2 linked regions of the Canis lupus familiaris genome follow. The protein of the gene in region 1 purifies or fractionates together with the protein of each later gene. This does not show direct contact. Links are inferred from orthologs where the notes say so. Each region holds a gene or a part of one and is shown on either strand. Other genes may lie near its edges.

Evidence for each region.
Region 2: the proteins of BIRC3 (region 1) and BCL10 purify together in Homo sapiens (affinity purification with western blotting; 5 studies listed by BioGRID and IntAct, with this or other methods). This does not show direct contact. The link is inferred for Canis lupus familiaris from reciprocal best matches to the Homo sapiens genes BIRC3 and BCL10.

The regions. Positions count from the first base shown.
Region 1 is NC_049226.1:29,475,877-29,480,418, forward strand, and holds the start of BIRC3 (baculoviral IAP repeat-containing protein 3), read right to left. Parts: upstream 2,975-4,542; coding exon 2,122-2,974; intron 2,029-2,121; coding exon 1,929-2,028; intron 334-1,928; coding exon 255-333; intron 1-254. UniProt on the Homo sapiens protein: Multi-functional protein which regulates not only caspases and apoptosis, but also modulates inflammatory signaling and immunity, mitogenic kinase signaling and cell proliferation, as well as cell invasion and metastasis.
Region 2 is NC_049227.1:63,256,747-63,260,997, forward strand, and holds the start of BCL10 (B-cell lymphoma/leukemia 10), read left to right. Parts: upstream 1-1,295; 5' UTR 1,296-1,562; coding exon 1,563-1,619; intron 1,620-4,251. UniProt on the Homo sapiens protein: Plays a key role in both adaptive and innate immune signaling by bridging CARD domain-containing proteins to immune activation.

The sequences.
Region 1 (4,542 bases):
AATTTATTGCAATTTTATTAAAGAAATACTTAGAGCCATCCCTCACATATTATTTTTTAGGACGTCTTGAATTCTGAATCTGTTTTTATCCAAAGAATAGTTCTAAGACCATGTTGGGTATTTTTAAAAATGAAACATATTTTTAAAACAACTCTTATCTTTTCACTAAATTGGTGTACTACTCTCTGTAATTATCAGAAAATAATTTATCTGTTGTTAACCAATGATCTAAAAAAAAAAAGAACCATCCCTACTTGTTCAAGTAGATGAGGGTAACTGGCTTGAATCTGACTGATGAACTCTTGTCCTTTGATGCGTATCAAGTACTCACACCTAAAACGTAAACAAAATTAAGTTTGGGGGGTTAATTTAAATCCCACCATCTGTAGCCTGTTAAATATTTTGTGTGAACATTCATTTCACATACTACAGTAAAGGCGAGATGCCATAAGCAAGAGAGCCTGCATGGACTGTTCTGCTGTAGCCGAAGCTACAAGGGTCATGAGATGCTCAGTCCTCCTGGCGGCAAGGTAGGCTGCCTCCACTGAGAGCTCCCAGCTGCCCTCTTCAAAAGTTTGAAGACTGATATAGATGCTCTGAACATTGAGCTGAGGAAATAGGTAGAAAGCTCTCTAAGAAATGACACTGTTCACTCATAAGGTTTGTAGGTTTAAAAGTTAACAATATACAAAGAGGGACAAGAGAAGTAATGACGAAGGTGAACATATTTCCTAATAGGTCAGGTCTTCACAAGCTGGCAATTCCTGGATAATACACATCACAGTTGACCTCAAGCACAAAATGAACCCCTCACACTACCAAAAGCAAACTCACCCTTCTTTGTATATATTCACAAAATCAGCACCACGGAAGGCCAGCGGCACTGTTCAAAAACATCTGTGTAAGGGGTTCTTCCTAATCTTTGTGAGTTTTGAAATCTGAAATATTTGGGGCACGTAAAGGTGCTATAAATAGAGTATGATACTAACAATTTACGTTAGGAAAATACATCAGGATACTGAGTTTAGTAAGCAACATTAAAAACACCAAAAGTTTTGACCATGCAAAAATATAATCATAAGCTACCTGATTTCAATTTTAAAAAGGAGAATGTAAATAAGTAAAGAACAATCAAAAGTGTAAGAATTGACAATAAAATGCTCTGTAGTGATCAAACAGATGAGGTGGGTCTGGATTTACCCCGACCATCATATTGAATATTGCGGCCTGCCTGGTGCTTCTGAATCTTTGTATCCAGCTCTGCTTTTCCTGTCTACCCATAGCACTTGCTATCTCCTGACATGCCATGTAACTCATTTATTAAGTTTTTAATTAAGTGTATGCCTCTCTTGCTATTAAATTCACCTATGAGACCAAGGATTTTGGTTTTGTTCAACTGAGTGTTTTAACCATCAGAACAGTCCCTGGCCAAAGACAAGCAATTAATATTAAATGTTGAATAAATGGAAATAAGTCCAAAACATAAGAATGGCTGAAAAAAAGTTTCAAAACAGTATATATAATAATATCTAATTCATGTACTCCTATCTACATTTATCTGTATGTGTACATATTCATGAAGAGATGTCTGCAGGGATAGACATTAAAATGCTAACTGGTCCTCTTTAGGTAGATTTCTGGATGTTCACATTTTTTTCTCTGTACTTTTCTCCAGTATGTGATTTTTGTCCTATGATGAACATATATCATTTTAAAATAGATATCTATTTTTTCATTATACAGAAAAAAACCTACACCTCTATCTTCCATCGAAATAGTTCAGTGATTTTTCTAAGTGATCCATCCTAAGTTTATTCACAAGTGCATCTTTGAAACAGAGTAGAGCAACAGCTTATTCTAAGGGGAACACATATAACCTATGTGATGATAACAGCAAACACTTGCAAAGAGAGTGCCAAAGCAACAACCTGGGAAACCACTTGGCGTGCTCCACCCACGGGTCGTCTCCAGACTCCCAACACCGCAGTCCACCGTCACAGCAGAAGCACTTGACATCATCACTGTGACCTACAATTAATTGTGGACCAAACTGATGAATACATATAATATGCTCATTGAAAATGTGTGAGATGAAGGCTGACAACAGAGGAAGTGTCTTACCCATGTAATAAAAACCAGCACTAGCAAGCTGCTCAGGGTGAACAGGAGCTCGGGGTGGCCAGTTACAGAAGGTTCTGGAGCGGGCCGCGAGGGTTTGCATGCTCAAGTTGGAGGCTGTATATCTCACAGTGGCTTGAAGCTGACCTTCCACAAATGGGCAGTCGGGGAAGTGTCTCAGGTGTTCCGACAAAGCATCATCATCCGGCTCCCAGTTGCTGAGCTTCCCACCACAGGCAAAGCAGGCCACCCTGTCCCCGGGCCCCACATAGTAAAAGCCGGCTCTGGCCAGGGCCGACGGCAGTGGGAAGGCCAGGGGCCAGCCCTGGAAGGTGCACAGTCTGTCCTCCTCGCTCTTCATGGTGACGCAGGAGGGGCCTGCCCTCCAGGGGGACATGGCTGGACTGGGTCTGAAGTCGACAGGGTCCACAGGGAAGCTGGAGTAGGATGCGCTGAAATAGCTGCTGCGCTCCAGGCCAGGGGATTGTGCATGTGTGGACCTGGCCTCCGACAAAGGGGCAGGGGGCTGAGAGGCAGCCCCCACCGTGCTGACAGCACTGAGATTCTGGATAAAGCTGCAGCTCGGGTACAGGTTTCTGTGCTTGCCCGTGGGGCTGTCCCCAGCCTTCCAGTTGTCTAGCATCAGGCCGCAGCAGAAGCACCGGACCCTGTCCTTGGCGCCCGTGTAGTAGAAGCCGGCACGGGCCAGGCTCCTCTCGGACACGGGGACGCCTGCGGGGAATGTCGAGTATGTGGACATGCGGTACAGTTCACATGAGTGGTCGTACTTCAGTTCGAACACAGGGCTGCTTCTCAGCAGATTTGACAAGAATATGCTATTTTGTACTATGTTCATAGTGAGGTGGACAGGGAAGGAAAGGGACTAGCCTTTCTCGGGGGAGGTAGTTTTGTGCACGGCTCTAGATTTGGGTTGGTTTTCTCACTAAGTGGGACCCCAGACCAGGAAACCTATTGGCCCGTGCCTGTGCACGCAGGGCTTCGGCGTGGTGAGATGCTGGTTCTACACTGACAATTACGTACAACCACACCTTTGCACCATCTTCATACAGCAGCTCAAGCATGACAATACAGCACCTCAAAGAGAATCAAAACCCTTCACAGGAGCATGGAGCCCTGTAGGTCAGCAGGTGGCCCTCAGCGTCTGCGTCCCCCTGGTGGCCAGCGCTCTCATGGACGCCTTCGACCAGTCTGCAGATAAAACATGGGGCTTAGGCAGCTTGCTTGTCTTCACGGTGGAAAGTTATGCTCTGAAAGTCCTCTACAGAAAAAAAAAAATTCTAACTATGTTTTGCTTATGAAATTTCGCAGCCAGAAAAAGAGAAAAAGCCTAACACCTACCTCAAAAGAAGAATGCACTACCGTATTTCCCTGATTCTAGGATGAACTTTTTAAATATCTCTGTTATCTTACAACTAATAGCATATAGCATTCTAATTAGCAGCATTTTTATTTCCAAGAAGTATATAAAGTAATGGTATGTCTTATAAACAATGACATCTTAGATGCAATGAAATACAGTATATGTCAAATCTTGCTCAAGTAATTTTTTTTCCTACAATAATTTTAATGGGGAAAACAAAACAATCTAGAAACTAACTAATCTAGCCTAACTAGGAACAGAATTGGCTGATGCATCTTAAGGCCTGCTTAAAAATTTACTAAATAATAATTACTTTCACAGTCCGGAGCTTGGTTGCTGACTCAGTGATTGCACTAGAACTTAGCAAATTAAACATTCTATTCCAAATAAATTATCAGAGATGAATGCATTTGCTCAGGTGGTCTTTTGGGGCACAGCTTTGTGCTGAGAGACAAGACTAAATCTTCTATTCTGATGATGGATTTATTTTTTAAAAGAATCAAAATTCAGAGTGCTGAATTTGTAGGCTAAGATGGATAATCAAATCATACAAATTTGGCTTTAGTCAGAAATAATTTTACAGACAGCATACCGTGAACCAGAATTTATCATAACAAAAAATAATAATAAATTTACTTTGTCACAGTCTACTCTTTTTGACAGAAACCTTCTAAAAGTTCAGAAACCTCTGTTATGACTAGCTATTTGTAATATTAGCAACGACCAACAAACAAGTCGTGGTGAGTTCCCTCGCGGGGATCCATGTCAGGTCCACCAACACTGGGCCCTCTACTCCAAACTTTCAATGCTTTATTTCCAGGTGGCATGAGAAATGTGTCTCCATCCCAGCTATGATTTCCCTAAAAGCTAAGCTACTATGTCTCACTTTGCTTCTCTTTGCTACAAAAACCTTTCTGGTGCTAGTCACTGTCTCTGTGCACCTTGTCTCTGCTAACTCTGTTCATTTCCCAAAACCTAACCACCTCGCCACCATTCTCACTGTTACCCTTCTCAGAGATCACACCGCATTTGAACAAATGGAG
Region 2 (4,251 bases), on another chromosome or scaffold:
AAGAGACATCTGTGTGGCTTTGGCAACATTGTCCTTTTCTGGTTCTTTTGCTTTCCCTTCCTTTAAATGTTAGAGTTCTCAAGAGGTATCCCACTGGCTGGTTCTGTGGGTAGAGCATGTAACTCTTGATACTGGGTTGTGAGTTCAAGCCTCATGTTGGGTGTAGAGTTTACTTTCAAAAAATGTTGGACTTCCCAAGTTTGTCTTTGTCTATCTACCTCTTGTCCTGTCTACCCTCACTGCTTCAAATACCACGGAGTTTATTCAGCATGTTGTCCAAACCATTGTCTTGGGCCCATTGTCTTGTGTTTTGAACTTCTCATCCACATTATTCATTCTTTTTTTAAAAAAAAATATTTTATTTAGTTATTCATGAGAGACACACAGAGAGAAGCAGAGACAGAAGCAGGCTCCTTGTGGGAAGCCCGATCCTGGACTGGATCCCAGGACCCCAGGATCACCACCTGAGCCAAAGGCAGATGCTCAACCACTGAGCCACCCAGGTGTCCCCATTCTTCATTATTCATGTTGTTCTGTATACACTTCCATTAGTAGTTAGATACCATTCTGGGCGTAGTTGTCTGCTTATCAGTCTCCCCCATAAAAATAGAATTCTTCTAAGATAAGATGACTAGACATATTAGTAAGGACTCAATAAGTGTTTGGGTAGTAAAAGATCATCATAAACGGAGTTCATACTGTATGCCAAGTACCTCTGAGAACCTTACATATATAGTATCATTTAATTCTCACAGCAGCCCATAAGGGATGTAAGGTAGACATCCCTTCATCACACAGATGGAACAAATAAGGAAACAGGATCATAAAAAAGTGACCAAAAAGCATGCTGACGTTAAATCGAGTGCTAAAATGAAAGGATTATAGGCGGTTTTTCTCTTTCAAAAATGTCTTGACAAAAAAAAAAAAGTCTTGACTATTGCAGCGGAGCTGCCCGCGGGCCGCGTCCGAGCAGGCGGGTATCTAACCCCACAGCTTCAGTAGGTTAAGGCAGCGGCCGGAAGCTGCGGGGCGGGGTCTGGGGAAAGGGGAGGAGCCCGGGGGGGACGGTCCGGCAGAGACCCGCCTCCGCCGGCGAGCGGTCCGCAAAGGCGGGGCCTGCGGCGGGAGGAGCCTCGGGCCCCACCCACGGAAACGCTCCCGGCAAAGGACGCGCGGGGGCTGTGGGCGGGGCCGGGGGCGGGGCCAGGCTCGGGCCCCGGGCCGGCAGCGATTGGCTCCCGCTGGGAGGGGGCGGGCCCCACGGCCAGCCCCGCCTCGTCGGGGGGCGGGGCCTGCGCCGGCGCCTCCGGGAGAGGAAGGAGCGCAGCGCGGAGCCCGCTGGGGGACGCCCAGGTCTGCGGCGCCCTCGGCCCCAGAGGCGGAGCCGGAAGCTCTACGGGCTCGTCCGTGAGCCTCTGTTTTGGAAGCGGCAGCCCTCTTCCTCTCGACCCGCTCCGCCTGCCCTTGTCGCCGCTTCACCCGGAGGCCCGAGTCCCCTGCCTGGCCGGGCGGTGCCGCCGCAGCTCCCGGACCCGGAAGAGGCGCTACCCCGCTCCTCCGCCATGGAGCCCGCTGCGCCGTCCCTCACCGAGGAGGACCTGACCGAAGTGAAGAAGGACGTGAGTAGCCAGCCTTGCCCGGGCGCCGCCGAGGGCCGGGGGTCGCGGGTGGGCAGGGGCAGGCCCGGCCGGGCGGGCGGGCGAGGAGAGCGGAAACGCGGAGTGGGAGTCCGAGCCGGAGAGGAGCAGGAGCCTGCGGGTCCGAGGGGCTCCAGGTCCGGGCGCTGCTGCACGACGGCGCCCGAGGGACCTCGGTGGAAGCGACCCCTCGTGACCTGTTAATCCACGTTTAGGTCGCTGGGTTCTGAAACCCTGTCCAGTGGAGCGTTTCACCGCACTCAGCTTCTTGCCGACTCTCCACTCCTCCCCGGGGATCTCTACCCCCCACCCCTGCGCTTTGGGGCCGCGTCGTCGGGAGTCGACTGCCCAGGTTCCGCCTTGAGTCACACTCCCTAGGCTGCTGGCCCAACCTGGAGCGACAGCTGGACCCGAGAAAGGCTCCAAGCAGTGGAGCAAATATGTGAAACTCTCTTATAAAGGGGGGTTGGGGGAAGCTCAACAGCTGAAAGCACAACCTGGAATTCCCCTAGTAAGCAAACGCCCACATATTTAAATTGGGGGGTGGGTGTAGCCGAAAATTAATTTACAGGTAAATGCTGAAAATATTCAGTACCTAAATTATGCCCTTTTGCTTGGATGCTGCAGAACTGCACAAATCTTAGTACTTATTTGTTGAGGTATCTCGTTTCTTTTGCTTTTAATTACTTGTTTTGCCACGTGAGACCTGTAGGAGTACCCCCAAAATACTTCGTGTAATTTCGAATTAAAACCAGAAACCCAACAGAAAATGAGTTCTGCAGCACTTAATACAGAATTATATTTGTGAACTGGACAAGACAGCAGCTTTTTTAGATGTTCATCTACCTTAGATGCTTACCCCCTTTTCTCCCTTGAAAGGTTTATTACACTGCACTCATAATTACATAATGACAATTGGAATGACTCATTAACAGAAGGAAACTGGATATGACAGGGATTTGTGCCTTAGTTTGCTCATTCAGCGATACAGATGGAGCGCTTAGTATATGGAAGGCACTGTCCTTGGGCCTGGAAAGATACAAAAAAAAAAAAGATAATCTGGCCTCTGCTTTATATTCTAGTCGAGATAAAACCGGGACATTGATAACTACCACAGAATAAATGAGTGTTGTCTTATATAAGATTGGTGCCAGTGGAACCATGCACTTCAAGAGCTAAGCCTGTGGTGTTCCAAAATCTTTGTCACATAATTTGCAATGTTCCCATTTAATCTTTACAGCAGTGCTGTGAGAGGTTACAGTTGGGCATAAATATAAAACCTGTACACAAACACAGTTGTGAAGAGTGTCTTCCAGGTCTCTTTTTTATTTATTTATTTATTTATTTTTTCTCTTTTTTTTTATATATTTTTTCATTTATTCATGAGAGACACAGAGAGAGAGAGGCAGGCAGAGACACAGGCAGAGGGAGAAGCAGGCTCCATGCAGGGAGCCCGATGTGGGACTGGATCCCAGGTCTCCAGGACCACGCCCTGTGCAAAGGCAGGCACTAAACCATTGAGTCATCCAGGGATCCCCAGTCTTCAGGTCTTTATTCACTTTTTTTCCCTGTCAGTTCATTGATACTATCCATCTCCATGATTTCAATTTACAGCTATCTCAGCAATTCATAATCTTGGGGAATCATGAAGGGGTCTCAGGAGGTCTATGAAAAAAATGTATGTGCACATTTTTTTTCTTAGAGATTTTTTTCATGCTATTTTCAAAATGGTTGATGACCTCAGTCTTAAAATTATCATACAAATATTTGCACTTCCTTCTTTGTCAACTCTAGATGCTTGTTTCCAAATATCTACTGGAAATTTACTTTTATGTTCTGTACACTCCTCATCTTGTCAGAAATTGAACTTTTTATCATCCCTTCCCCAAAGCTGCTTGCTATATTCTCTGTCTTGATGGATAGTATGCCACCACCCCAGCCTTCTGGAAAGTCCCACTCTTTCATTATGCTCCTCCCTTCCCCCTGCCCCCATCAACTTGTTTACCTCATCTTTTGGATTACATGCTGCTGTGAGGTATGCATGGTTCTAACAATTCGAAAATTAGAAATTAAGACGCAATCCCAGTTTGAAAAGAGCTTAATTTCCTGGAAGGAGGGAAACAGACATAAATTAATAATTGCAAATTACAGAATAAGTGCAATGAATTTTGCATTCATCTAGAACACTATCTACTTGACACTCTGCTAAGTGCAGGATATACAGAGTTGAACAAAACAAATGTGGTTTTTGCCTGCTTCAAACATATAGGTCATTAAGGTTGAAGACAAATATATGCTTACAAATTATGCTAAGTACTATGAAGGAGACAAACAGGTATTGAGACAGTAGCAGGGGGAATCAACTTGACATAGGACGGTCAGGGAAGGTTACATTTAAAGTGGTTGCTGAAGAATATAGCAGAACTGGGGCAATAATCCTCTAGGCAGAGTAAGGTTTGTAAAGGAACTAAAACAGGCAAGACCTTGGTGACTTGGGGAAATTGGAAACAGGCAGAGGGTGCTCTGAGAAGTTAGGAAGGTTGGCCTAGAGCCAGATCATGGAGGATTTTACAGATGGTAATAAAGTATTAGGATTTTTCTCAAGTGTAGTAGG